Linked DNA regions of Notamacropus eugenii. The protein of the gene in region 2 purifies or fractionates together with the protein of the main gene of each other region. This does not show direct contact. Links are inferred from orthologs where the notes say so. Each region holds a gene or a part of one and is shown on either strand. Other genes may lie near its edges. The genes, in order: MRGBP, ING3, EPC2 and ACTL6A.

The links.
Region 1: the proteins of ING3 (region 2) and MRGBP purify together in Homo sapiens (co-immunoprecipitation; 4 studies listed by BioGRID and IntAct, counting the BioPlex papers as one, with this or other methods). This does not show direct contact. The link is inferred for Notamacropus eugenii from reciprocal best matches to the Homo sapiens genes ING3 and MRGBP.
Region 3: the proteins of ING3 (region 2) and EPC2 purify together in Homo sapiens (affinity purification with mass spectrometry; 3 studies listed by BioGRID and IntAct, with this or other methods). This does not show direct contact. The link is inferred for Notamacropus eugenii from reciprocal best matches to the Homo sapiens genes ING3 and EPC2.
Region 4: the proteins of ING3 (region 2) and ACTL6A purify together in Homo sapiens (affinity purification with western blotting; 3 studies listed by BioGRID and IntAct, with this or other methods). This does not show direct contact. The link is inferred for Notamacropus eugenii from reciprocal best matches to the Homo sapiens genes ING3 and ACTL6A.

What each region holds. Positions count from the first base shown.
Region 1 is NC_092872.1:499,219,421-499,226,682, forward strand, and holds the start of MRGBP (MRG/MORF4L-binding protein), read right to left. Parts: upstream 3,002-7,262; 5' UTR 2,973-3,001; coding exon 2,483-2,972; intron 1,205-2,482; coding exon 1,083-1,204; intron 1-1,082.
Region 2 is NC_092874.1:130,718,873-130,726,402, reverse strand, and holds the start of ING3 (inhibitor of growth protein 3), read left to right. Parts: upstream 1-4,528; 5' UTR 4,529-4,710; coding exon 4,711-4,738; intron 4,739-4,975; coding exon 4,976-5,047; intron 5,048-7,530. UniProt on the Homo sapiens protein: Component of the NuA4 histone acetyltransferase (HAT) complex which is involved in transcriptional activation of select genes principally by acetylation of nucleosomal histones H4 and H2A.
Region 3 is NC_092876.1:282,154,531-282,161,748, reverse strand, and holds the start of EPC2 (enhancer of polycomb homolog 2), read left to right. Parts: upstream 1-4,211; coding exon 4,212-4,364; intron 4,365-7,218. UniProt on the Homo sapiens protein: May play a role in transcription or DNA repair.
Region 4 is NC_092877.1:344,709,733-344,716,605, forward strand, and holds the start of ACTL6A (actin-like protein 6A), read right to left. Parts: upstream 3,022-6,873; 5' UTR 2,548-3,021; coding exon 2,451-2,547; intron 1,834-2,450; exon of another isoform or gene 1,666-1,833; coding exon of another isoform or gene 1,641-1,665; intron 1-1,640.

The DNA.
Region 1 (7,262 bases), on a different chromosome or scaffold from region 2:
AAGAAAAGGGCACAGCATAATGCTTGAAAAGACCACCTGTTAAGTACAGCCATAGCTTCCAGAAATAAAGAACCTAGCTACATAATGGCATGCTGATGCAGGTTAGCAAAAGGTCACTGGCTTGTAGGATGCTAGGATCTGGCAATCAACCAATTATAGGAACCCCACCTAGGGAAGGAGAGACAAAGGTTATCCTTTTAACACCACTTAACAGTTCAGTGGCTTTTCAACACCCTATTATTTTCGGTCCCTAAAAACACTTTTGGGATTCAAAGATTAGCTTGTTCCTCACTTTTTGAGGTCAGGAACTTAAATAAGAACTCAACTGAGAAACAAATCATTTTGTATATAATCACATTTTATTCTCACACAGCCTCTGAGGCTGGAGTGCAAGTATTATCTCTCTTTTGCAGATGAAGAAAAAGCTCAGTAAATATCAGAGTCTAGACCTAAACCAAGACCTTTTTATTCAACCCATGTTCTTTCACTGCCTCATACCTGAACATCTTGGGATTCCATCTGGACTGGGTTAGCCTGTTTGGCTCATTACAATAGACTGTTCCATTGCAGTCCATTTTCATCTGAGAGAGGAAAGGGGAGTACTGAGACAATTCTCTGAAAACTGCAAAGTTGTGATTTCCTTCTAGTAATTAAATTTGTGTAGATTCTTAGAAATTATGGCCCATCAGCCATAGGATAGTGGAAAGAGGGGTCAGGAACACTGGGTTTTTAGTCTTGTTTTGCCACTAACTAGCTGTACAACTTTCAGCAAATTCCTTTTCCTTTGTGGGTCTCAGTTCTCTCAGCTGTAAAATGAGAATGCAAGATGATCTTTAAGGCCCCCTTCAAATTCTAACAATTAATGGGTTCCAGTTAACTGAGTTCAACTTCAATACAATTTTACTGTTTTAGCAACTATCCCCCTAAATTTTTTAAGCAGGATTTCCACATACCCTATTTTCTTATAGCCAGACACTCCTGTTTAAAGGTTTCTTAGTTTGTAGGAACTCAAGGGAAGAACAGAATTAAATCCTCTCACTTTTACTTATACGCCCAACATTGTGCTGGAATTCACTCCTTACCAAAGCTTGCATATCGTACATAGTACTTAAATGGTCCCAGATGACTTTGGAGGAGATCTGCCTCCCTATGTTCTGACTGAACTTGTCCCTGATGCAGATCATGTGGAAGTGCCGGTTCACACCTGTAAGAGGGGGGAAAACTGTTCAGGAAATTCCACCTGTTCCTGACTTGAAATTTTTTTGGGGGGGAAATCTTTATTTTACAACACAAGGAAAATAGCAGAGTTCAAACTTATAAAAACAAGTGTTTTCCCTCTGTCTCAGAAATATTAGTACTCTTTTTTCCCCGCTACAATTACGCTCAAGTACAAGAGTATTCTCTCTCCCAAGCTCCTTGCTCTCACCCTTGGCAGCCAGTAAATAACAAGTGCTCAATAAATCCTGGTTGAATTTAAGTCTCGAATCCAAGTGTTGGTTCAGACAGAAGAGCCATAAGTATTTAAAAACAAACACCACTACTTCTCCCCTCCCCCAACAAGGAGGCTGGCCTGGCCTCAGGTTTTCCCATAGGGCTCCACCATGAGGAGAATCAGCATTTCTCTCCCTCCCCAAAGTTCCTAAAAAGGGATCAACAACATATATTCTCCCTGAGCTGGGGAAAGGGTAAAAGAAGAAGGGAAGGGGGGGAGAAGACAAGGGAGACACACAGGGTTGCAGGGGGAGACGCCCCGGAGTCTGGGGTGGAAAAACTGAGGGAGAGGGCGGAGATAGAAGGGGGGAGGAGGTTGGGAGGACCCGGGAACCAGGGAAGGGGGAAAAGCTGGGGGAGGTGGGGTCGGGAAGGGAGAAAAGTGGGGGTGGGCGGGGAGGGGTAGATGGAAAGCTCAGGGTTGGGTGTGGGAGGGAGAGAAGCTCGGGGAGTCGGGGATCAAAGAAGTAAGGGGGAGAAGCCTGGGGGAGTCGGGGATGGGAGAGGACAGAAGGGAGGGATCGGGGGCTAGGGGTGGGAGAGGAGAGAACCCGGGGGGGCCAAGGATGAGAGAGAGAAGAGATAGGGGGCCGGGGATGGGAGTGGGGAGAAAGAAGAGATCGGGGGCCAGGGATGGGAGAGGGGAGAAGATAGGGGGTAAGGGATGGGAGGGAGGAGTTGGAGGTCCGGGGGGCGGGGATGAGGGGAGGAGAAGCCCGGGGGAGCCAAGAATGGGAGTGGGGAGAAGAGAGAGCTCGGGGGCCGGGGATGGGAGACGGGAGAGAAGTCCTGGGGGCAGGAGCCAGAGGGAGGAGGGCTCCCCGGGAAGCTTCCTAGGGGCGGATTAGTGTGAGGCCCAGCCCTCCCGCCGGCCGCAGCCCCGGCCCTCCGCCAGGCCGCGGCTGGCACTCGAGGCCGCGGCTCCGGCCTGGCCCAGGCTGCGCTGCTCTCCGCGCCCAGCGCTGCGCCCTCCCGGCTCCCCTTTCCTCACCGACGGGCTTGTGCCCCAGCATGGCATGAAAGAGGCACACTTCCACCTCGGGGCTCCACACCACGACTTCGTCGGGCGGGCCGGGCGCCGACTCCCCGGGGCCTTTTTCACCGCTACCGCCAGGGCCCGGGCCGGAACCAGGGCCGCCTCCGCCGCCCCCGCCGCCGCCCCCGCCGCCGCCTCCCGCGCCCGAGCTAGAGCCGCCGCCGCCGCCGCTTCCGCCGGTGGCAACCTCGGCTTCCCCCATAGCTCTGTCCCGGTTAATAGAGCTGTAGAGCTGCGAAGCGCTGCGCGCGCGGCCCCGGCGCCCTCTGGCGGCCGCTCTGCGCCGTGCGCGCCCCCGCGCCTGCGCCCCCAGGGCCGCTCCTCCCTGTCCCTGACCCCCCGAGACTGCTGAGCTAGGCTGGCCCTGGCCGCTCTGGCCGTCGTCCCCCGGCCAGGCCGCGCCTGTGCCCACGTACTGGCGCGCGGGCTCCTTGGCTCCAAACATGTTTCGCTCCCGTCTCCACTACACCTAGCCTTTCCTCCGTTTTCGTTTCCCCAGAAAGAAATTAAACCTCAGTTTAAACTAGACTGTGGTGAGCATTTATGAGGCTCCGCGGAAGTGGTGGGTGGGTGGTGTGGGTGTAACAATCCTATTATTACTTTGGATGGGAATCAGGCCCCGGTTAAAAGAAAAGCCGCAATATTGTTCCCTCAGCATTATTCCTAGGGCAATCATTAGTAGAGATGACCACGTGGGGAGAGTGGTGCAAGGGTTTTAGAGCTGTGGAGAATACTTTGCAAATGGCAAAACCGGGTCAGAGGGGTTTAAGTGAAATGTCCAAGGTCACACAAACTAGCTCCTGAACTCAGGTCTTCTGACTCACAAACCAGTTCTCTCTTCACGCTATTCTTTACAAATAATACTGCTGAACCCTCCCTCGCTTAGTAACCCATATTTGAACTTCATTGGATTGATGGAGGGAAAGACGTTGTCCCTTCCAGCCTTGGGTACACGAGACTTCAACAGAGATGTGAGATAAGCCTAATAGAAATCCAGAGAGAGCTGATGCCCAGGTGTTATGCATTGCTACTTTATGTGGCTAGGTATGCAAGCTCGTGTGGAGACCTTATCTCGCTTAGTGTAACCCTGAGCGAGTGGCTTAACCTCTCGGTGTCCCAGACAAATAAGACCATAAAATACTGTTAGTGTTGATTTGGAAAGAAGTTTTTCACCTAGAGGTTCCTATATCCATGAAATCATAGGCATTAAAAAAAATACCATGTCTTGGGCTAAGAAGAGTGCTTTGCTGAAGATTATTTTAATCAAGGGGCTTTCGTAGCTTTGATCCTAACCTCGTCTCACTTAGCCTAGTACATAGTAAAAACCTATGTCCGCAAACATCTCTTGTGAAGTAGTTATGTTTTAGCCTGGATTTGATTTCTGCGTCTCCCATCAGAAAATGTCAATTTACAAAAAAGGTAAAGTGGGATGGTTACAATTAAATTCACTGTAGGGGTTCCTTAATTAGTTGCTAACTGATGTTTAAGTATAGGGTGGGTCAGGTTGATGTTCAGAGATCTTAACCAAGGTGTGTCCTGAACCCCTCGGGCAACCTTCAGATGCCTATGGGTCCCATATCAGAATAATGTGGGTTTTTTTTTTAAAGAAAGGTTTATGATGTGTTTATAGACCCCAAGTTAAAAACTTTGACTAAATTGATTGTCAGTCCATTTATTGAATCAGAAATGAAGACAAAATATTTCCTGAAATGCCAATGTAATGAAAATTCATTTCATTTGAACAAAAACATGTTAAGGCTTTGCTAAACTATAGGAGATTACTTAAAGTTTACATAAAAGGAGGTTAATTCCCCACTTAGTATGTGCCAAACAACTGTTAAACCCTAGGGGATACAATTACCAAGGTAAAAACTATCCCCACTGCAAGAAGCTTTCTCTAAACATTTACTAAACTATGTGTCGGACATTGTTCATGGTGTGAAGGATACAAAGCCAAGAATGAAACATTCCCTGCCCTCAGGGACCTTCCATTCTGTCAAAAGAGACATGTTTAAGTATATGCGATAGCTAGAAACTGAAACAATATAACCTTGAATGAGAAGGCACTCTCAGGTGAAAGGACAAAGATTCCTGTAGAAAATGGCACCTACGCTGAGTCAAAGAAACACATATGAAGAAAAGTAACGCATTGTAGAGTTCATGGAGGGGAGTAATGCATAAGAAGACAACAGAGATAGGAAGGTGTCAGGAGTTTATATTTTGTCCTAGAGGTGACAGGGAACCATTGCCATTTATTGACTAGTGGTGTGACAGGGTTAGACATAGAAAGGCTTTAGGAAAATCACTTTTGTGGCCATATGGAAAAGGGATTGAAGTGAAGAAAGGCTTAGGGCAGGGGAACCAGTTGGGAGGCTAATTGCAATAGGCTAGATGATGAGGACCTGAATTGGGGTGTTGGCTTTGTGAATAGAAAGAAGGGGATATATGCAAGAATTGCTTGCATATATATATGTGTGTGTGTATAAGTATAATGCATATAATATATATACATTCATATACATATGCATATATACAATTGTATACACATTTATATGTATTTATGTTTTACACATGTATATACACATACAGGACAACTGTGTCTCTTTTACTATTGTTTGCTTTTTTTTAGGAGGAAATTGAGGTTTAGTGACTTGCCCAGGGTCTCACAGCTACTATGTATCTGAGGCCAGATTTGAACTCAGGCTCTCCTCACTTCAAGGTCTGTGCTCTATCCATTGTACCACCTAGCTTACCCTTTCTTGCTATTAAAGCTTAAATTTGCACTAAGACTTTTGGGATACCTTTGTGTGTGTGTGTTGTTGACCTGAAAACTTTGTTAAGAAAAGGCAACATGGCTAAATGCATACATTTTATGATTTAATTAATTAATTGATCAATTCCCTATAAAGAAAACAGTTACATAGTGCTATGGAGTCAGAGGTGACTCTGACTACCTAGTGCAGAAATCATCTGTCTTAAGTACATTTTGCCATGAGAAAGAAACTCTCCTAATTAAGCAAATCATAAATTCAGTAAGACAGGACAATTAACAAAGCAATGTGAGTCAGGCCTTGAGATTCCAAGCTGGGTAAGCATATGTCTCGGTGATAAGGAAAGAAACCCCACCACTAGTAAGTGGCAGGCTTCCTCCCTTAAACAGATAATTGACATAGGAAAGGGTAAACAATGTTCAATAGAAATTATGATCTAAGATGTCTATATTTTCTTTATCATTAATACGCCATAACATAGTATATGTCTATAGATCAAAGGAAAGTCCCATTATTCATAACATAGTATGTGTCTATAGATAATAAGATTCATCAAAGGAAAGTCTCATTCATCAAAGGAAAGTCTCATTATTCAAGATATAGTGTCTTAGGTTAAAGGTCTCCTTAAGGAGTGTAGAGTCGGCCTTGGCTGGCTTTTGCTGACATAGGAAGAGGCACTCTCTGAGTTTACTTCAGAGAGAACAAAGAGATTATTCCAAAATTTTATATTAAACATTATCAGTGTGTACAAATATACATATACATATTCTACACACACATATATAAAATCAGTGCTAGGATAAGTGGGCAAGGAACTTGAGAGAACTTGAAATACTGTAGAATTAACCTGGTTCACTAAGGAGTTAAGATGGTGAAAGAAGGGGAGTACAGATAGTTCAGGGGTGCAAGTCTGAAAAAGAAGTGAAGGGTGGAAGGAATGGAGGTTAAGGTTGAAGAATAGGGGTATGGTTCATAAGGCAAAAGGAAAGATGCTATGATAAGAGATTATGATTAGATAAAGGAATTTCAGAGTTCAGGAACAGGGAAGTGGAACCCTTGCGGGTTATGGCAAGATCCAGGGCATTACATTTGTATGTGTATAGTGGGGTGAGGAGTAGGTAGTGGGAAATATAGAAGTTGAGAAACTGGGAGGTTAGGGTCCTTGAGGAATATCAGTGTGCATTTTGAAGTCCTCTGGTGTGAAGACAGGAATTGAGAGAAGAAAGAAAGACTGAAAGCTACCAAAAATTGATTGGGTAATAAATATGGACTTATTGAATCTCGAAAGAGGAAATGATGTAATGGTGGTAGGGGGAGAATCTACAAGAGGGGATAGGAGCAAGGAATATTCCAATGCCTCCAAAATGATCAGTGTGGGGGGGGGGATGGGGAGGGGATGAGTGAAAGTGCAACAAATGCTGGAAAGGGGTGGTGGGATGGCGAGGAAGCTGTGTTATTAGGATAGAATCAAGTTCAAAGAGTACAAGAAAATAGAAGTGGGAAAGGAAAAAGTGAAAGAAGAAAGCAAATGTTGTTACCTGTGGAGCAGGCATTCCAGGGAACCTAGTGAAAGAGGTGGGTAGATCTTGAATGGAATGTCAGGGGCATTAGAAATGGGACAGGAACAAGGGAGCAGGCAGTTGGGGATGGAAAATAGGTTCGAATAATTTTATCTTTAGTTCAGACTGGAATGGGGAGGATATAGTGAAGTGGGAGTATGTTAATCATTGAAGAATGACTTTAGGCAGGTTATCATCACCTAGGGAGACAGGCAACTTGTAGTGGGGGTGGGTCAAGAATTCTAAGAGGTCCTTTCCATGTTTTCACAGTTTCTGCAGAGTGCTCTGACAAAATAAGTAGATTTATTTAATTTTCTCTTTATCTTGCAAAACTGATTCTAATCAAATATTCATCCTCTTATCTCTTTGACTTTCTTCTCCTTGGTTCTTTTCCTACCACTGCCC
Region 2 (7,530 bases):
CCTTAGAGTCTTCCCACAAGTTTACTCTTGGATGATCACATACTCAGAATCTTACAGAAATGATACCTCACCTAAAATCCTACAGCACAAGATTTCTGTGAAACACTGGAAAATTCCAAGGGTAAGAGGACTTCCAAATAGAAGGCAACTAACTTGGGATATCACTTAACAAGTTATAATGTTCAAAGGTCTAAAATCACTACCAATCACCACAAGTGATCAGCCATAGTTAATAAGCTTTGGTAAGGTCAGATGTTTCAAAAATGTTCCTCCTACCAAGCCAGTCAAAGAGTTAAATAATTGCAGATGGTGGGTATAAATGATTTACACAAATTCTAAGATTACCAGTCCTAGACTTTAGTACTGGAATAATTGGCATATTGTAACTAAATAATTATGAATGCATGAAACACTGAATCTCAGTACTGTGAACCAATTCTTTCCTAAGTTTTTGTGTTACCCCTTTGCAATGACAAAGGAAGCTTCTCTAAAGAAGCCATATTCTACATTTGCAACACATCCGTTAGTGATATTAAATGGGTAATCACTATAGTTTTGAAGAATGTTTTGTGACCTCAACAACTTGATGAAGGTTATATGAGAAAACATGATCAATAATAACTATTATTTATTTGATATTCACAGGACTGCAAGTGACCTATAAACATCACTTCTCTTGGTCCTAACTACCTAGTAAGGTAAATACCATAGGTGTTGTTACACCTATGTTACAACTGAGGTTCAGAGGAGTTAAGTGACTTATTCATGGTCACTCAGTAATTAAAGGTGACCTAAGAACTTAGGTCTTTCCTGATTCCAAGTCCAATGTCCTTACTACTCTACTATATTGTTAAAAGTATCTATTGATCATTGATATACAATTGGCATCAATACCTATCTTACACTTATAATCATCTGTAAATACTATATTATCCTCAAGCATTTTGTCATTAATCTTCAAAATTACAGAATTCTAGGCTTTGTTAAAATTATCTTTATATGGATTACTATGGCACTCTTAGATTTCCCTCTAACTGATTTTGAAAAGTATACACCAGAGTTGGCAAACCTTCAGCCACAAGGCCACATGTGGTCCTCTAGGTCCTCAAGTGCGGCCCTTTGACTTAAAAAGTCCTCAAGGCCAGAAGCTCCCACCTCTGGTACCTTCTCAAAGTCATCTTTCTTTTTATTTTCTGTACCCCTTATCTGCAAAACTATAACTTTCAGTATCTTGAGGAACATTTAGGATTATGCCTTAGTCTGTGCCTTTGCAATGACAAGCATTTATATTAGAAATCACTAGTTTAATTTGTCTACTATTTAGTTATATAATCTCCATAGGTAGATCCTTACTGGAACCATTACAAATGCTAGATTTAGTTTTATCACATAATTCCAATAGTAAGCTTCATTGTGAATTCCACTTATAAGGTGATATACAAAGTGTTATTTAGGAAATCCCCAAAATTTCAATGTTGAGACAGATGGCATAACTGTAGTATAAATAGCAGTGCCCCCATCAAGCTGCTGATTACATTCGTTAAATTTAAATCTCAGTAGAATCAATGATTCTAAAAATTCATGTAATACTTTAATCCAAAATTTAGCATGCACAATGAGAGATCTTATTATGGCATATATTTTAGTTGCACTATCTAGAGAACAACATGATGCTGTTTAAGGTTCTCTATCTTTTTTAAAATGGAAGAGCAGCCTCTCTCTATAAATTCCAGGAATGCCTCAAGTTCCAGGATGGAAACCATCTTCACTCCTTTGCAGGAACTATTTGAGTACTGAGTTAACACTACTTATGGTTATCTGACTTAAAAAGAATGTCATTTTTTGTGCCAGAATGGGTGTTATGTTGGGTATTATTTAAAAAGTAAGAGACAAGTAGGTTTGGAATGTGAGTACAAGTACCTTACTGGAGCACACCTCAGCAATCACAGAAATCTAAGCAACAAACAAGTATAGGAAGTCAAAAAGAATAGGATATTGTGGAACTCAAAAGGAATAAAAAACTAACATTGTACCACACAAGCTCTAGAATATATAAATAAATCCCCAGTGTCATTAGAGATAATAGATATGAAAGTACTTGATTAAACAAATAGTGCGTAAAGCCAGAGAAGAGGTTCATTCATGCATCTAAGCATTTTTTCAGTAAGCATGTATTAAGTGTAAGTGTGCTTAATGTATTCAAAAGACTATAGTATATGCTGGCGTAGATGCAAACAGGGTATGATTCTTGCACATAAGGAATTTGGTGAAACATAAATGAGAAACAATCAGGAAAGAAAAGGAAATGGTTACTATTTTCCACTGGGAAATGAAAACACACTAAAAAGTAAATATGCCTCCAATGAAATCCAACTTAGATGCCTCATCATGACACGGAAGTGACCTTGGATTCTCAGAGACCATGCCAAGGTGGTGCAAACTGTGGAAAATATTGTCAGTCTGAAAGGCTTTAGAGTTCAGTCATGGTGGTCAACTCTATTACTTGCTGTCCAAGGACCAGTCTTGCTCAGTTTAGAAAGGCTCGTTAACAGAGGATTGGCCACTAGATTATCAATGTTTTTGGCTAAAGAATTTCATGAAACCATCTAATAATGATGCATGAAGGGATTACCTGGGAGGAGTATCCACAGGAAAGAAATCAGAGATCACTGAAGTGTGAAGTCATTATAGACCTTACTAAGTACAGGAAGAGAAAGAAAATGTTAGAGCAGGATGTCTTGGGCAAGTCACTTAACCTCTGTCTGCTCCAGTTTCCTCAACTATAAAATGGGGATAATAATAGTAACTACCTCGGAGGGTTGTTTTAAGGACATAGTAGGCACTTCATAAATGTTTGTTCCATTATTCATGGGACTATGGACCCATGAAAATGAGAACACATCAATAATGAAGTGAGGGAAAATATATTGACTGGACCTTCCGTGGAGAATTTATGGGGGGACAAGAGAACCTGAATGGGCTGTAATACTGAAGGTCAGAGAAAATGACCCTACAGAAACCACAGATCCACTGAAGTACTTGAGGATCAAAGAAAAGGCTGAAAGTAAAGCTCTAGGGTGGGTCTGCCACTGCCACTGCAGGGTGTTTAATCACTTGCATAACTCGCCACTTGTGTACCAGCAGTGACTTCTGGTGCCCTCCAGACTCCCTCTCCCTCCCTGGGTGGGGTGGTAGGTATCTAGGTCTATAAACAGAAAAGTGTGCCAATCTTAGAATGCTATAGAAATGCTAGCTATCAACCTCAGAAGGTGTGGAGTGTAATAGTACCTCAAAGGATCAAGATTTATCCATACATGCAGTACATTTTTTTAACCCACTAGGTAAAGAAAAAGTAGGATAAAAATTTCTATTTCAAAGATATATAAAAAAATTATTTCATCAGCTGATGCTCCTAGTAAGCAGAAGCTGACCTCCTATAGGCAATTAAGATGAGCAGTGGATAGGAGGCTGGACCTGGAATCAGAAAGACTCGAGTTCAAATCCTGCCTCACATACTTATGATCCTGGGCAAGTCATTTAACCGCTGCATACCTTGAGTTTCAACTGTAAAACGGGGTAATAACCTACTTCTCAGGGCAGTTGTGAGGATCAAATGAGATATTTGAAAGTGCTTAGCACAGTGCCTGACATATAACAGGCACCTAATAAATGCTTCAACAAAGGAAACATATTTATTTCCTTAGAGTGCAAAGGAAAGCGAAGGAAGCTGAAAAAGACAAAACAAAACAGAGGACAAAATGACAACGACTCCCTACGTAGCGCTTTGTGGTTTGCGAACCGCTTCACCCCGCTCTAGCGTGTTGTTCTTCGGAACCCCGTGCTTAATCCCCTTTTAACTGATGAGAAAACTAGGGTCGATGGAGTGATCAGCTCCAGGGTCACACAGAATGGAGAGGCAGGGTCTGAACTCTGGTCTTCCTGGCTCCCCATCCCGCACTCAGCACACTGTGCCCCCCTGCACGCCAACAAAGCCCTACCTCCTAGGTAGGTGCCTGGAAACCCGGACAAAACCTCGATTCCAGGAACGAAGTACGTTCAGTCATACGCAAACCTTTGCTAAACCTACCAACGGGTCCTATTTCTGGACGGAAGATAGAGGCAAAGAGTTTTGGTTTCAAAACAATCCAGATTGTGTTTCGTCTCCGTTCATTACATCACATCCCTCCCGTTACTCGCCTCTCCCAAGCCCAGCCGGGATACCACAGAGAGAGCGATCAGCTGGGACACGAACTCACCGCGCTGAGGAGCCGGCGAAAAGTTGTATTTCGAGTTATGTCACGTACCTGCCTACAACTCCCAGCACCCCCTGCCCAAAGTCAACAAATAGACCGCGGTTCCTCATTTCAGATTTTGTGCAAAACCGTTTGCAGTCGCTCCTGGGAGACGCAGTTTCGCTGTGAAGTCATTATAACTCGTTTCTTCTCAACTTCTGCAAAAGCGGAACTACATTTCCCACAAGGCTGCGGGAGAAGGCATCGGCCAGCCTGCGTCACCGCGGCGGCCGACCAATGAACGTGCCGGGCGGCGGTGAGGCGAGCGCCGTCAGGCGCCAAAGTGTTTTTTTTGCCCGAGTCGAGCGGCTGCTGCTAGCGGAGGCGCCATATTGAAAGGGACAAAACTCCGGCGACAGCGAGTGACACAAACAAACCCCCGGACCCTCCCCCCATTTCCCCAGCTCTAAGGGCCGAGATGTTGTACCTAGAGGACTATCTGGAGAGTGAGTGTGAGGCGGGGCGGGAGCTACCCGCGGGAGCGTCGGGTGGGCGAGCAAACGGGCGGGCGGGAATGGGGGGAGGCGGGGGGATGTTTCTTTCTCACGGTAACTGGCAGCCTCGCTGTGGGCTGCCGCCTCCCCCCTCGTCCCCCTCCTTCTCGCACGCACAAGACGTACGTACGTACGTGCGTAATTTGGCCCCGGCCCCGCCCCCTCTGACGGGTTCTGTCTCTCTGACAGTGATTGAGCAGCTGCCGATGGACCTGCGGGATCGCTTTACGGAGATGCGCGAGATGGACCTGCAGGTGCAGAGTGAGTGACTTTTCCCCGCGCTTGCTTGAACTCCGAGCACCTGTTCCCCTCCCGCCAGCGCCCCCTGCTGCATAAACGGCCCAGTCTCAGAAGCGCCTTTCACCCGGTGGGGTTTGTGATGGGCGGGTAATGAATGGTATTCTCCGAATGAACGTGCTTCTTTGGCAGGAGGAAATGTTTGGGGAAGTGTTTGACCTCGTGCAAAGGTTCGGGCTGCTTAGAATTGTGCTGAAAACTGCGTGTTTCTTTAAAACCATCTGAGATTTTTTCAGCTGAATTCATAGCACAACAAATGTGAAACTAGGGGTTTCTTTTGGGGGGGGGGAGAATAGATTACAGATGCTGTCAACCATGTTTAAATTAACAACAATTTAATTTTCATATAGAAAAACGTATCCTAGCACCAGCCTACGCTTTTGTGGCTGCATTAAAAAAAAAAAACAAACAACACTATTTCCTCATAGTGAATGTGAGATTTAAGGAAAGCTTAACAGCCTTGAGTGAGGAGTTAGTGAACAAAGTCTGGAAATGAAGTTTCCTCGTGGGAAGATTGTTGCCCCCTTTAGTAGGGCAAATATGGGAACTTACCTAACATCACCTGTTCAGTGTCAGGGACCACTAAACTAACTCCCTGCCTACACCACTGTTCTTTCCACAAGTCGAAGTGAAGTTCCTACAAAAGAAGATGAAAAGATGAGGCCCAGTACCTCAAAATTGTATTCCAGAGCAAGAAAGGAGTCCAAGTTCATGCCCAACTGTTTCCAGGGAAGGTCTCTCTGAGGCACAGTCTTCAAATATGTAAAATGGGGATAATAGCTACACTACCTACCAGTCTCAGAGTGGTGAGGATTAAACAAAAGGGAAGGGGAAGAATTTTATTTTTTTATTGTTTTTCATTCACTTTATTTTTCTAGTTTGAAAGGGTAATCCTACATTGTCCACATTACCACAGATTTTACCATGAAAGTGCTATGATGTTCTGAGACTCAGTATTACAACATTATCTGTGAATCTGAGCATTTTAAAAACTTGACCATGAAGTTCTTTGATTCTTAGGTAAATGATCTTTCATGACATTAACCAACTGTTGAACATACATAAAACACTTTCTTTTGGTGTTAATGGGTAAGAATTTTAAAAAGCATAAAATGCTTTAGTAGTATGGAGGAATAGTATTATAGTCAGAGCTAAGCAATAAAGGTTCACAACTTGGCTCTGTCATTTAAAATTTAAGTGAACTGGGGCAAATTCTTTAATTTCTCTGAGCCTTGGTTTTCTCATTTGTGCTTCATACTTTCTTCTGTAAAATGGGTATAATGATACTCTTATTTCATGGGATTGCTGTGAGAAAGTAATGAAAATGTTTGTAATTAAAGCACTGTGTAGATACAAAGATATGTTATTAACACTCCGCTGTGTGTCATTCATCTTTTTAATAGTAGTCTTTGACTATTAATGGCAATTCATGCGAGTAGCTGAGCTACATGAGGAACAATCCCCAGAAGGGCATAGGCCTTGAGCTACTATGTTTCTTTGTTGTGTGGGTAGGATGTAGATTTAATACTTTTTCTGATCCACATGTATACCTGCTTCTCTGTTCAACTTCTGTAGATCTTTAGCTTTGTCTTGTCAGACAGAAAGAAGATGGAGAGAGAGATGTCATTAGCACATCTATAGTCCCTTGTGTAGACTATGAAAAACATTTTCCAGTAGGAACAATATTATAAATGAGTTCCCCATGCTAACACTCACAAAAGCTGATAAAACTTTTTGTAACAGTATCACTTTCTACTCTGTCTTTTTATGACAAATGGATTCCAAGTTAAACTACTGTGTACTACCCTGAGGACTCAACCGTTATGTGAAACATTGTTTCTATGAGAAAATAGGCTTTGAATTCCAGACAGGTGATTTCCAAATTAAACTTTAGAATACAACTATTTCCAAGGCTGGAGACTACCAATACTCTGTCATGGAAGTATAATTCTAAAACTGGAGAGAACTTTAAGCAATTAAGTCCAAGCATTTTGTTTTACAGATTAGGAAACTGAGGCCTAGAGACATTGTGATTTGTCAGAAGTCATATTATGGAGTAAAGAGATTGTAAATAAGTGGAAGGATTTCTTTATATTCTTTTTATCTGAAAGAGAAAGTGGGGATGGTGGAGGACAAATCTGTAATTTCATTGACGGGTTAAGCTCTCTCTGTAGAATTATTGTGACCTACTAACAACCACATGAAAGAGTGCTCCAAATCAAGAATAATTCGAGGAATGTTACAACTCAGAGATTTTACCCAACAACCAACAAATTGGTAAAAGTGACAAAATATAGGAATAGTCTATATTGGATGGGGTTATAGAAAGGTGGGACCTACTGGCACAGTATTGGTTGTGAATTGGCTCAAGCATGCTGGAAGGCAAATTAGTATGAGGCAAAGAAAGTGACTAAAATGGCCTTTCCCTTTGACCTAGAGATTCTGCT
Region 3 (7,218 bases), on a different chromosome or scaffold from region 2:
CAATTTGAAAGAATGTGACATTTACAAAAACTGTTAAATAGTTGAATAGTAACTATGACTATTTGTTTTTCTCAACTGAATTAAGTTTGCTTTTTAAAAGTTATTTGTCAATTATTTAGAAAAAGCCTGTTCTGATTACAAGAGTGGGAAATGGACAGTGAGATTTTATTTTGACTTTCACAATAAATTGCTATTTGATCTTAAATACTCGATTTGTGGCTCATTTTCCTTATTTTTCACTCTAAGGAATTACATATCTGCAACTGTTTTATTTTTAATATTGCTTTAATGCTCAGGTCTGATTCCCTGATCTTTCTTCATATTACATTTGTAGGGTTAAATGTATGCAGCTCATCATAGGTCAAGGGAAAAGCATATTTGAAGAGATCAGTAAGAACATGTTGTAATTATTCCAAACCTTTCAAAATTCTTCTTCCTAGAGAACTTTTTTCTTAGTAAAAGGAACTGTCTCAGAGGTCAAGACTATAATTTTACGCTATTTATGGAAGCAAGAATAGTGGTGAAATTCAACAAATACATTAGGAAGAAAGCTTAGTTAAGTAATAATATCTATGTACAAATGAAAGACTTTTCAGACACTAAGAGTCAAATACTAGTTTGAGTAATGAATTGGAAGTCAAAAAACCACAGACTGCCTTATGATAAATATGTATTGTGTTGCTTCCTTCAAACTCTTTTTTTCACCAATTCTAAAATAACTGCCCATATGGCAAAAGTAAAAGAGAGACTTGAGGGAGAAACTTAAGTGGACAAAAGGCTTAATGGTCATTTATGAAGCACTTTGAATGCCCTGGCTCATTTGGGCCTTACAATAACCCTGTGAAGTAGGTACTAAAGGTCTTATTACCCCAATTGTAGAGATGGGAACAAAGGTACAGAGGGCTTAAATACCTTACTTGCATATAGCTAGAAAGTTTCAGAAGCAGAATTCAAATCTAGGGTTTCTGTTCTTCAAGTCCAGTATCTCATTCATAATGGTGGGAAGTTTCTTAGTTAATAGAAAAAAAAATCTGTTCTTATTACTATATGCTAGGGCTTAATATGATTTGTAGTAATGTGCTGTCTTGTTTCCCAAATTGCTTTTGGCTCATAAATTTGGGCTGAGGAACCAGAAATGCTGTGGGTGTTTACAGGAACATGCATGGACAACTAAGTTCAAGTCAGGTAAGGGACCAGTGAGGCACTCTAGCTCAAGCTGGAGTAGGAAGTATCCTGGTTCCCCATTTATCCACCTCCACCCCCGCCTCCAACACTGAATCCACAATGGAATAGATAATGGATCTAAATCTAGCCTTTAGGCTATGGGTTATGAGTTTTTACTGGGATCCTTGGGGGCGTTTAGGTTAGAAACTTTACCTCCTGGAGTGCTCAGCAATCTAATGGATTTTCCTAAGTAAGAAAGTGAATAATAAAGGAAGGGAAGAGGAAGTGTGGGGGAGGGAGAAGAGAGTAGGGGAAAGGTGGCCAGAGCTGCTGGAGAAGCACAAGACAACTTGCACTTGTAAATTTCTGGGGACCCAGGGAAAAATCCTGGTAGCCCACTTACTGCATTTTCTTTTCCCGTATTATCTATACTTTTTATATTCAGTTCTGTGTTCAACCCTCCACTTCTTGGTTTTTTCCTTTCTTTAAGCTAAACTTCCTTTCTTTGCCCCCGGATTCCTGAAGAGAGTAGTGTTCACAATTAAATATACTCACCAGCTCGTTTGAAACATTCCCATTTTTTAAAATTAAAAACATCTTCCATGGAAAATATTTAGGATTTTAGATTTGAAAAAGATCTGCTTACTACCTTAGAGACCAGTTACTCCAATCCTCTCATTTTAAGGATGAAGAAATGGAGGTCCGGGAAAGTTTGTGACTATGCCAATGCCACAGGGTTGAAACCAAGATTTGAACCTGACTCTTCCATCTCCAGATCCAGGGTTCTTCTCATCACATCATGACTTAATGATAATTGACATTCATACAGGGTGTCCCAGAAGTCAGTGCAGTTTTATGCTTTAAATTCCTTTAAAACTGCACACAGACTTCTGGGACTCCCAGTATAACGTTGTTAAGGCTCTCAAAGTCTTTCAAATGCCTGATTTCTTTAATTCTGACAATGGTGTTATGAAGGTGGTACCACAGATGTTATTATTCACATTTCACACATGAGGCAACCAGAGGCTTGAGAATTTAAGTGACTTGCACGTGGTTATAGAGTGAGTGTCGAAGGCAGTATTTGAAACCATTTCTTTTCTGGCTACAAAATTAATGCTTCATCTCTACACACCACTTTAAATAATGCCCTAAACTGGCTTGACAATTCAGACTCTATCCAATGTGACTATCTACCCTTTTCAGCTAAAATCCCACCTTCCATAGGAAGCCTTTCTTGATTCTCTTAATTCTTGTGCCCTTCCTCTATTGGTTTTCTCTAGTTTGTCTTACATACAGTTTGTATGTAGTTGTTTGCATGTCATCTCCCCTATTAGGATGTGAGTCAATGAGAGTAAGGACCGATTTTATCTTTCTTTATATCTTTAGCACTTAACATAATGAATGACTGGCACACAGTAGGTGCTTAGTAAATATTTATGAACCGGAAATTTTTATAGTCGGTTTGTTCAAAAAAAAAAAAAAATCTTGGAGTCCTACAGAATAATACTTGTCACGGAATTCCTAAGAATTCTGTTAGGATTACTTAATTCTTTAAATATTAATCATGATATTCCAGCTAACATAAGTGCCAAGAATACTGTTATCAAGATAGAGCTCAAATCATACTTCCTTACGTTTTCCTTGAACACTCCAGCCTAAGGCGAAGTGAACTGAACCGTTATTTTCTGTACCATTTATTTGGTATAATAATTTGCTACATTTTGACATTGTCTTCTTTGCCACTGTGTTTCCTCAGCTGAAAAATGAAGGGATGGGATCAGACGATCTTTAAGGTCTCTTCCAGATCTGAATCTTAAGCATCTTGTTTTTCATCGTATAAGTTTGCCTAATTTTAGATAAAATGATTTGTTTTTGCTTCCCCACTTAGCGCCTGAGACCACCGTGTCTTTACACAACTCTATCCTGCCAGCATCTAGTGAAATGCCTTGCCCATGGACGCACATTTGTGGATTGGATGTTTTTAAGTTAAAAGAATCCTTTAGACTTCTCAGCCCTTAGGAGAGCTGCAGGTGGCATCAGAAGGTCCCCGCGCTCTGAGGCTCTGGGGTCCGCGGGGACAGAGGTGAGTGGTGCCCGCGCATCCGGCCCGACGGGGAGCGTCGGGATCCCCTCGCTGGGCAGCACCACAGCCCTAGGTATCGCCCCAAGGCAGGGCAGGGGTCGGGGGCACGTCGCTCCCCAGGGGGCCGGACGGGCTCCAGGCTGGAGTTGTGTCCGAGCGGTGTGGACCGAGCCTACGGTGTTTTCGCACCTCCTGGGTAGCGTGCGAGCGTGAAGGAAGAGGATGCTCCGGGCGGCCTGGGCATGAGCCCGGTCTGAACCCCGGGTACTCCGTGCGGGCTGTCTTCCTCGCCACGGAGCCGAAGCGCCCCCGGGCAGCGCCGGGGTGAGCCTGCATCTTCCAGCGCCTCCGTTCGCGCGGCCGGGACGGGCTGGGGAGGCAGGGGCCACATGGGATGGGGCATGCCCACCCACGCACACCTGACGGCAGTCAGGTTGGCGGAGGGTCGCACGGTTCTCCGCAGTCCTCTCGCCCTGGGAGGCCCGAGGGCCCGCGCACACTCCCGCGGGCCGGGGGCGCGCCGAGGAGAGAGTGGGTGGGGAGGGGAGCGGACTGGAGAGGAAGGAGGGAGGAAAGAGGGAGGGAAGGAGGGAGGGAGGGGACGGCGGGGAGGGAGGGAGAGGACGAGGCGCGTCCCCGCGGCGGGGGCGCGCCCTCGCGCGGGCTGCCGGGATCGCTCGCCGCCGCTGTGGTAATGTCCGCCATGTTGGCCATGGCGCAGGGAGCGGATCGGGCGGGCGAGCGGCGGATCTAGTGTGTGGAAGCGGCCGCGGGCGGCGGTGGGTTGTTCTCGGGCGGGGTGGGCGCCCATGCTGTGGACGGGGGCAGTGAGGAGGAGGAGGAGGAGCGGGCCGGCCGTGCTGCACTGAGGAAGGAGAGGAGGCGGCGGGAGCCCTCCCCCCCCTCGCCCGCCCCGCCGCCGCCGCCGCCGCCGCCCGGGCTGTTCCTGTGAGGCGGGGAGACAATGAGTAAACTCTCCTTCCGAGCGCGGGCGCTGGACGCCGCCAAACCGCTGCCCATCTACCGCGGCAAGGACATGCCCGACCTCAACGACTGCGTCTCCATCAACAGGGCCGTGCCCCAGATGCCCACCGGGATGGAGAAGGAGGAGGAATCGGTAGGGACTCGAGTGTTTATTATCCCCCCCCCTTCCCTCCTCCCTCCCCCCTCCCCATTGTCAGCCGGGCATCGCCATTCACGGAGCGCTCTACGCACGCTGGAGGGCGCAGCCGCTGCTCCGCCGCATGGGACCGTACGCCGGCGGAGTAGCGTAAACTCTCTCCGGCAGCGCCGAGCCCTCCGCGGCCGCCATGTTGTTGCGTCCCCGTGTTGTGATTAGCTCGCCGCGGCGCTTACGCCGCCGTATGGGGGCCTCGCCGTAAGCGGCGTCTGGGAATGGCGCAGGGGGCTGCGCCGGCCGCTGTTGGCGGAGTGCCTCTTACTCGTTTAGGCACTGGGGGCCTGGGGGCCGGAAAGGTTTGCTTTTCGGGGCGCATTGGGCTTTTTTTCTTTTCCTTTTTTTTTTTGTTTTGGTGGTTGTTGCAGCGGGTTTCCTTTTTTAAAAAAACATTACTTCGGAGAAGTAGAACGATTTCCAAACCGACATCTGTTTTCCCCCTGCAAGATCGTCTTCCTCGTGTTCTTCCCCTCCCGCTGTAAGCTCCCCATCCCTGGTGCAGTCGGTAGTGCGGCATGGCCGGAGGTGGGGGAGACGGACGGCGGCGGCGGGGGCCACTACACTGCAGCCTGCGGCACTGCCCGGAGCCGGTCAGCACGCGGTCGCAGACCCCCCGGGGTTCTGTGTATGTCCTTCTGCACGAGCCGTACGCGCGACCACTTACTGCGTTTGTCAGGGAGGGTCGCTGCCTGTCTGACATTTCGCGGTAGGATGCGTTTCGTCTGGAATTCTGAGTTGTGGGTTGTTGCAGTGGCTTTTCGGGGGGGATTGCTGAAATTATTATGGGGTGACTTTGCCCCCGGCTGAATTTCAGCTGATTTTGTGCTGGGTGTTGGTGACCCCTCGAGTGGCTTTACTTGCATGCGGAGTTCATAGTAACTGCACCCTCCAGAATTTCTTCAATGAACCTACTTCCCCGCCTCTTTGTCAGCCCCCGGTGTGTGTGGATTGGCTCTCCGGCTTCTGCGGCTGTCAGAAGAAGGCTTGCTGCTCTGTGATTGGTCTCCTCCTTGGACTATTAATATTGCAGGAAACACTTTCATGTCTTTGATTGGCTGCTCATGCCTCTGACCTCATTGTGTCGCCCTGTTATTACTACTTTCCAGCTGTGATTTAATCACATCTCCCTTTAGAATTGGAATCACTGGCTTAACTTTCACTTGAAAACGTGGTGTTTTTTATTTCTGAATAGAACCTTCCTTCTTCTTTTGGGATCTTGGAGAATATGGTCTCCAAGACTTTTGGAGACCAAATTCTCCATTTAAAAAAAAAAGCAAAACTAGAGTGAAAAGAAACATTTATGGGTGAAGTCTGTGCATGAATAGAAGGAATTACTTTTAGACGTTTTCAACGCATTGCACCAGCAACAAATAGTTGCTTATGGGACTAGCATTTAAAATAACAAAGTTCTACCCCGGATAAAGAATTACTTTAATTATTTTTTTTAAAATCAGGGATAGGCTTTTGATCTGTCCCAGATGTAGAGAACTCTCAGGTGAAAAAACTCCTTTTATCAATTAAAGTTGACACTTCTCTCTGCAATGTGTAGTCTTAGAGAGTTGTTATGGAGAGCACAGAGAAGTTAAATGGCATATCTAGATTCATACAGCTAATAGCTCTCTCTCTATGTGTATATATATATATATATTATATATATATATATAATATATATATATATCTCAGAGGCAGAACAGGATTCCACATTTTGCTGATATATTGGTTCACTCTCTGTCCACTACCACCCTGATGCCTCATATTTTATTACACTTTTGATTTTAAGAATTTTTAATAATTTTGATTTTATTCCGCTGAATTTCCATAGATATCATGTACACATTTTTAGACTTTCAAAAAGACAGGCATGAAGTGAGTCCATCTACTCTTGTATATAATTAAAAAGAGCTTTGGACTAAAATTCAAGAGACTTGAGTTCAAAGTCTGGAGATGATACTAATTATAGTTCTCTGATCCTGAACAAATTACTTAACTTTTTCTGGGTTTCACTTTTGCTCATTAAAAAAGTGAAGGACTTGTAGTAGATATTTGAAGCATCTTATTTATTCTATCCTGTCCATATCTTTTTTGATCTTGAGTCTGACATTGACTTTCATGTAGCATGGTGTTCAAACCCTTTCCCAACTTTGTTGTCTTCCTCTGGATACTCACTAGGTTATTAACATCTTTCCTAAAATGTTGTATTAATACCTATTGATCTTCTCCTTTTCCTCCATATTCTCTCTCCTTTCCCCTCTGTCCTTTCCTATCTGCCTCTCTGTCTTTTATCTTTCCCCTCTTCTTCTTCCACCTGAGTGCAGGGAACTTCTTCTGACAGTACAGTTTGTCACCTCCTTTGATTGCATACTCTTAAATGATTTGCTTCAAGGACTCAGCAATTAAGGGACCAGTCGGGATTATTATTTTGCCTGTCTTAATGCAGCCTAATAGCACAACTTGTTTGGACACCATATCTGAAAGATCATCTTCAGTTCTAAAAGTCTGTAACCCAGTGAATACTTTGGTTTTTTTTTTTTTTATATTTCTGATGCATCAAAGCTTTTCAGTTTATTAACTTCCTTCCAAAAATGCGATCCCCCCTCAAAAAACAATCTCTTTTAGAACTACTTAACTCTAGGATAGGGATTGGATCTACCATTTCATGGAGAAGTACTGGATGAAGAAACATCCTCTACTAATGTAGGTAGATACCTTTTCTGCAATTAATAGTCTTAGTTACTTTGAACATAGAGGTTAAGTAACTTGCCCGTCATCACAAACTGTGTCAGAGATGGGACTT
Region 4 (6,873 bases), on a different chromosome or scaffold from region 2:
CCATGTTATCTTTTTTCAGAAGCAAAGACATTAAAACACTTGATACATGCTTCTTAACAGCATGGTCTAGTGGAGGCAAAACGTTATAAACTGGAAATGTACTGATTTTCAAAACCATCCCCATGCCCACAAAGCTCTTTCAAACCTTCAGTGTTTCTTGAAGTCAAAGACAAAGCACAACCATAGGTGTAGAAGGGTCTGACATGTCTGTTGTTCAATACTAAACAAAATGAAATAATGTGTATCACAGTACAGGTCCCTTAGCCAAGCTTCAGGAGGGCTAGAGGAAGAGCTAATGAAGATAAGGCAGCAAGAAATGCAACTAGGGTGATCCCCTTGTGAAATCATCAAGGTGACTCTCCCAGTTTAGAGAAGAGAAAAATAAGGTCTGAAAAGGACCCCCAGGTCATAAAACCAACCAAATGGGGTGTCCAGCCTGACAGCTGCCAGGCCCGGTTCTTACGACCACCTCACTTCACAAGGTGCGCAGGCAAGCTGAACAAAGATTTCTAAGACCAGACTACAAACCCACGATCCCCTGCTCCGTCTCCTGAACCCAATCAATCCCCCAAGTTTCTCCACCAGTGTCCTGAGCACAAAACGCCTTCTGAGAGTCCGCTGTCACGGCCCCGCAGGCCCCAGGGTCCCAGGTGTCCCGGGGGTCTGCAGAACCTAGGAGGAGCACGGCCTGGGCAGACCTCGGACCTTCTGGGCCAGGCTGGCCAGACCTAAGGACCGCTTCTCGGAACGTCGGCTGCTCTTTTAGATCGTCACCAAGGCGACGCTGGGTCCCGGGGCAGGTGAGTTCAAACCAAGCTGCCTTTGGGTGCTGCCCAAGCTTCTCCGGCTCGGGGTCACTGACCCGCCTGAATCTACCCCGGACCAGGCTAAGAAGCCCAGGTCCAGCAATCTCGGAAACTTTCGGCAGCGCCGTGACTCTCTGAACGTCTCTCAGACGGGTCGGGGAGCTCAATGCGCCATCAGGACCCACCATCCCGCCCAGTCGTTCCCCGAGACACTGACAAAGGGCACTCAAGGCCCACAAGGTGCCAACACCCCCCTCAGGAGCCCACCCAGAGGGCCTGGGCCCTTGCCCTGAGGCGGCCCCTCCGTGTCCGGGGGCGCTCTGAACGAGGCGCGGGCCCCGGAGCCCCTCGGTGGATGCCCGATCTATGCAGGGCCCCGAGGACCCCCCTCGCCATCTCGGGCTCCGAGGCAGGCCCCACCCGGCCCCGGGGCACTCTCTCCGCCGGTGGCCGCCGCCCCTCCCCCATGACCCGGGGCGGCCGCATGGTGCTGCCGGGCTCTCTCCGTTCCGACCTCGGTGTCCCGGGGGCTGGTGCTGGGCGCCAGGACGCGGCTGGCTGCCCACTCTGGGCCTCGGGGCCCCGGCAGCGCTGGCGCCCGCAGGCCCGCGACCTCCCCGCTGCAGTGACGGCGCCTGGTCGCTGCCCTCTCCGGAACCCAAGGGAGGCCGGGCAGGCCTTCCGGCAGGGGCTTCAGGGCTACCCCTCTCCCCGCCTCCCTGAGCGGCGCCGGAGCGCGGGGATGCCTGCTCCGGGCCCCGGCCCGCGATCCCCCACGCCGCGCTCTCGGGCCCGGCTCTCTTCGGGGCCCGCGCGGCCCGCGCCCACGCTCACCTCCTCCATAGACGCCGCCGCTCATGGCTGCTACTGCCGCCGCCGCGCTGAAGCGGCCCCCGGCCCCGGCCTGCCCGGCCCCGGCGCCTCCTGGGCTCCAGCAACCGCCGCCCGCCCCCCGGCTTCCCCCTGAGGCAACAAAGCGCCGTCCGCTCAGGCGCGCATCCACACTGCTGCCGCCGCGCCGCGGGCCAATGACGAGCGGCCAGGCCTCCGCGTCCGCCAATCCGAGAGAGACGTTGCCCCCGCCCGCAGCCGTGCGACCAATAGAACGTCCTCGGGGGGCGGGGAGAAAGCCAAGCGGCGGAAGGGGGCGGAGGAGACACCGAGTTGGGTTGCAGCGCGTAAGGGGCGGGGCATAAGGGACTGGGGCGGGGCCTGCTAGGGGGAGAGGCGGGACTTGCCAAGAGCGGGAGCCCCAGAGACCCCGCAAGTCACGCGGTCCCACCCCCTCTCTCCCCCAAAACCCAGAGAAGAAGGGACTCACGTGACGTCACACATACGTGTGTGGGGGGAGCCCCGGGGATCTCCAGCTGCGGGAGGTCGCGAGGTCCTCCCCATCCTTTCCCTGGAGCTCCTGCACCAGTGCGGGGACGCAGGCCTGAGTTGCCAGCCCCCCTCTTCGGTCACGTGCTCCCGGGATGGCCTCAGTTACCTCATCTGTAAAATGAGGGCGCACTGCGGACCCTCCCAGCTCTGTCGGTGATCCCAGGGGACACGCCTGACCCAGCAGCAGGTCTGGGGCACCTCCCTCTGCGCGGGTCCCTCCCGCAAGCCCTCATCCACCAGCAGGCTCAGGTGCGCGCTTACCTGGCGCACTCGCAGAGTAGCCTCGGGCTGCTAAAAAGTCCTCTCCAGGTGCGCGGATCTGTCGTACCCGGTGCTTATGCCCAGTTATGGCTCCCATTGGGCACTTGGTGACTGCCCCTAGAACAGACCTGAAGCACTGCCTGCCTCTGGGGAACTGAGTGTGGCTTCTGGAGCCGCCCCCTGGAAGGTGACAGGGCTGGGACCCGAGAAGCGCTGACTCCCTTTGATTTGGGCAAGCCGCCAGGCATAGAAATGCTCCCGACTTTATGGCTGACAAGGGAAACCCTGCCAAACCCGCGGGAGAGATCCTTAAAAGGAGGGATCCTTATTCTAACAGCTACAAGTACTTCTTAAGCGCCTACTTCGTGCCAGGCACGGTGCTCCGAGCCTTGAGCCGGCAGACAAGAAGGCAACAGCCCATGACGTTATGAAGAGTTAATGTCATTAGAACAGGGATGATATGTTGTATATAGGGCATATAGACAGATAAGAGATGAACAGAACGAAGCGAAGCAAAGCTTTCTCCAGAGATGGTCAAGTCCTCCCCCAGGCATCGGTGTTGGTACCTGCAGAAAGCAAGCCTGCCTTTTATGTGACTCCGTGAAGCCACCCTAAAAAGCCCGGGAGCAGTTTTATATCTGATTCTGAAACTCATTGCCTTTGCCAGTAGAGGGCTTACTAGTAATGAGATTTGTTCTATGTCTCCACTGGAGTTCTTGGCTTTGAAACAGGCTGCCCTGACAAATTTTTGAGACTGAGCATGGAGCTCATTTTCAAATATGGGCGGTCAACAATCACCCTGGTAATCCAACTAGCTCTAAAATGTATGCTACCTGCAGAGAAGGCAGTCATGAGCTAAGTGTGTACTACCTTCTGGGAAGACTCAGCTCCAGTCAACAGCATTTATTAAGTACCAGGCACTGTGCTAAGCTCTGAGATACAAAGAGAGGATATAGAAATAACCATGAACAAACGATATAGTCAGGATACTTTGGAAACATTCAAGAGAGGGGAACATTAAGGATTCCCTTTTCAGAAGGTGAGACTTTAGTGGAGATTTGATGGAAGCCAGGGGGAAGAGATGAGGAGGGAGAGAGTTCTAGGTATGTATTACAGCCTGAAAAAATGCTTGGAGTTGGGAGAGAAATATCGTGTACATAGAACAGGAAGGAGGCTGCTGTCACTGGATAGCAGAGTATGTGGAGGGGGAGTAAGGTCTAAGACTGAAAGGTAGGAAGGAACTGGGTTCATGAAGGGCCTTGAAAGCCAACTAGAGGATTTTACAATGGATTTTGAAGGCAATAGGGAGCTGTGGGAGTTTGGTTAAAGGGAGTAGGGAGTATGTGACATAGTGAAACCTCATTTTAGGAAAGCTATTTGACAACTGAGCTGAGGATAGACTGGAGTGAAGAGAGATTTGAGGCAGGGAGACCCACCAACAGTCTGTTGCAATAAATAACCTAAGCTACATTTGTCAACAGCCATGGTGATACCCTACAGGAATGGTAAAGGTGATAGGTGACACACAAGTTGCTGGGCCACTAACATGTGGACTTGTAGCTGAAAGTTTAGGACTTCCACCAGTCACTGGACCCTCACTGGACAAGAATTTCATTGTATAGAATCATTTTTTCTTGCCTTGACCTTAGATGACTTGGTAAGAACAAGTGCATGATACAAATTTTAAAGTAATGATTTAGCTAAAGAAATGAGGGTGTGGCCCTCAAGGATGAATGTTTCATTCTCCAGAGAGTACTTTGCAGAAATTAGAGCTATGAAATGAAGTTCTGTGCCAGACCACTATTGATCCCACCCCAGGTTCAAGAAAGCAGATGGTACTATCCAAGGCATACTAATCTATGGCTATGGAATCTCTGATGATTTGGGATATGCAGGTCAACGGACAAATCTGGACTTTATTGGCCAAGATGGCAGTTGACATTTGTAAGACGTATAAGACCTTCACTTTGTGAGTCACCATCCACTCAGAATCATAGCTTATGAGACCCTACTGACATGCTTACTTTTACTAGACCAACAAGACAACCTACCAGTTTAACCAAACAGCATAGAAAAATAAATGATGGTGATGGAGAAGAGACACAAGACTCTTGTTATCTCTCCAGCCTCTGAAAATTATCACCTCAGGCCCTGAATATATGTGCAAAAATTCTATTCACCTGACCAAACCTACCTTCTAATTTTAATTAATCAATTTAACAAGCATTCATTAAGGACCTATTCTTGTGCTCTGTACTGGGCTAGGTGCTGGTGATACAAAGGAAAAAATGAAATGGTTTTTGACCCAAAGAAACTTATGTTTCACTTGGAGATAATAACATGTACACAGATAACTAAATATAAAGCATGCACAATATAAAATGTATACAACATAAATACAGATATAAAATATATACAAATAAGTGGGGGAAGAACAGACTAGCAACTAGAAGAATTAAGAAAGATCTTTCTAGGAAGTAGCATTGAAGCTGAAGCTTGAAGTAAAGGATTCTCAGAGATCAAATGTAAAGAGGAAGAGAATTCCAGCATGGGGGATGTTAGAATATTCATCATAATAATGACAAGTGACAGAGATTGTATAATTGTTGATGTATGTAATATTTCCTGATCTTTTGTCCCACTTCTGCAACTTTTTTGGTCAAAATGTATAGAAAAAATATAACGCAGCAACACACTACATTGGTGATGATGATGATGATGATGATGACTGGCATTTATATGTGCCTTGTATGTGCCAGGCACTGCACTAAACACTTTACAAATATTTTCTCATTTTATCTTCACAATAACACTGGGAGGGAGATGCTATTTTTATCCCCATTTTACAGCTGAAGGAACTGAGGTAAATAGAGATCAAGATAAGAACATCTGCCTTGTAGGAATCTGGAGGGGCAAAAAAGTCCTAAACATTCAGATTATTCCAGGTTCCACTGGCAGTCTTTTATCTGGAAGGAAAAGTTGGTTTAGAGGGCGTGTTTCGGACTTCATCTCCCAGCCAGCTGCACCACTGCAGACAAGCAAATGTAGGGAGAAGCTTTAATTGAGCCTTCTCCCTCCACAGCAAGACTGGTATGCCAGAGAAAACTCCAATCTGACAATCAAAAAACAAAAAGCTGTAAATTGCAACTACAGTAAATCCATCTTAGGAGAAATTTGCTTTTAAGGTAAGTGGTCTTTTTTTTTTTCCCATTGTTTAGTATATAGTCTTCTGACTGACATGCCATTCTCATTTGGAAAATTCACCCATAATTTCTGTTCAGCTTGCTTTCTGACGCATTATGGAGCTCAAATGCTCCGACTGAGCGGGATGGGTTATGCCATTAAAACAGACAGCAAAAGAAATTAAGTTACAACCAAGAAATTCAGCCTGTTGTGATTTGTACCATGTCAGCCTGTATTAAAGTACACTCTTAGGGATTTCTTACATTTTGCCATATAAAATGTATGACTTTAATAAGATTATTTGCAATGGAGTAGTGGACTTGCTAGAGAAGGTCTGGTAAGAAAGAATTTATTCAGCAGTGATGGGGAATGATAACTAAGGATCCTGCAGCTTTTCATTAATGTTGACCTGTGAAATACCCATTTATTTTAACTTATTGATCTGGTGTTTCATTTTCTTCCATTTCCACATAAAAAGACATGATAAATTCAATTCAATTAAACACTTGTTATGCCTCTACTATCTCGCAAGCATTGGGCTAGACATTGGGGGCACAGAAGAAAAAACCCAAAACATTCTCTGCTCTCAAGGAGCTTATATGCTACTGGCGGGGATACAATATGTTTTAAGATTAGTAAATACAAAGTATACACAAAGTAAATTCACAAAAGAGATAGCGCTAACAACTGGGAGAGGAAGGGGGATCGTAAAAGTTCTTGTGTAGGAGGGAACACTGAGTTGGACTTGAAAGAAAGCCGGCAATTCTAAGAGTTTTAGGAGATGAAGAAGGGCATCCCGGGCTTGTGTAACAGCAGGAGCTGGAATATCATGTCTGGGGAGGATTGAGTGAAGTGATACAAATACAACAGTCTTTTCTACTGAAAGAAAATAAGCTGGGGTTCATGATGATTTCTTCTTGGAGGTATAGCTAAGCATCGCCTTCTCTAACATCTTAGTGTATCATAGGGTCATAGAAGGGACCTTTGAGGCCATGGGGCTCAGCGCCTTGATTTTGACAGATGAGGAAACTGAAGCACCTAGAGGATAGCTTGCCCAGAAACACATATCTAGTGTCTGAGGTGAGATTTGCACCCTGGCCTCCCTGACAAGTCCAGTATCCCATCAGCCATCCTACACAGCTTCTCTGTCACAGATAGGAACCAGGAAAACTCAAGGTCTTGAATTTTATATCAGTTTATAGTCTCAAATCTTCTTCTAATCACTGACATTCAGGTTGTT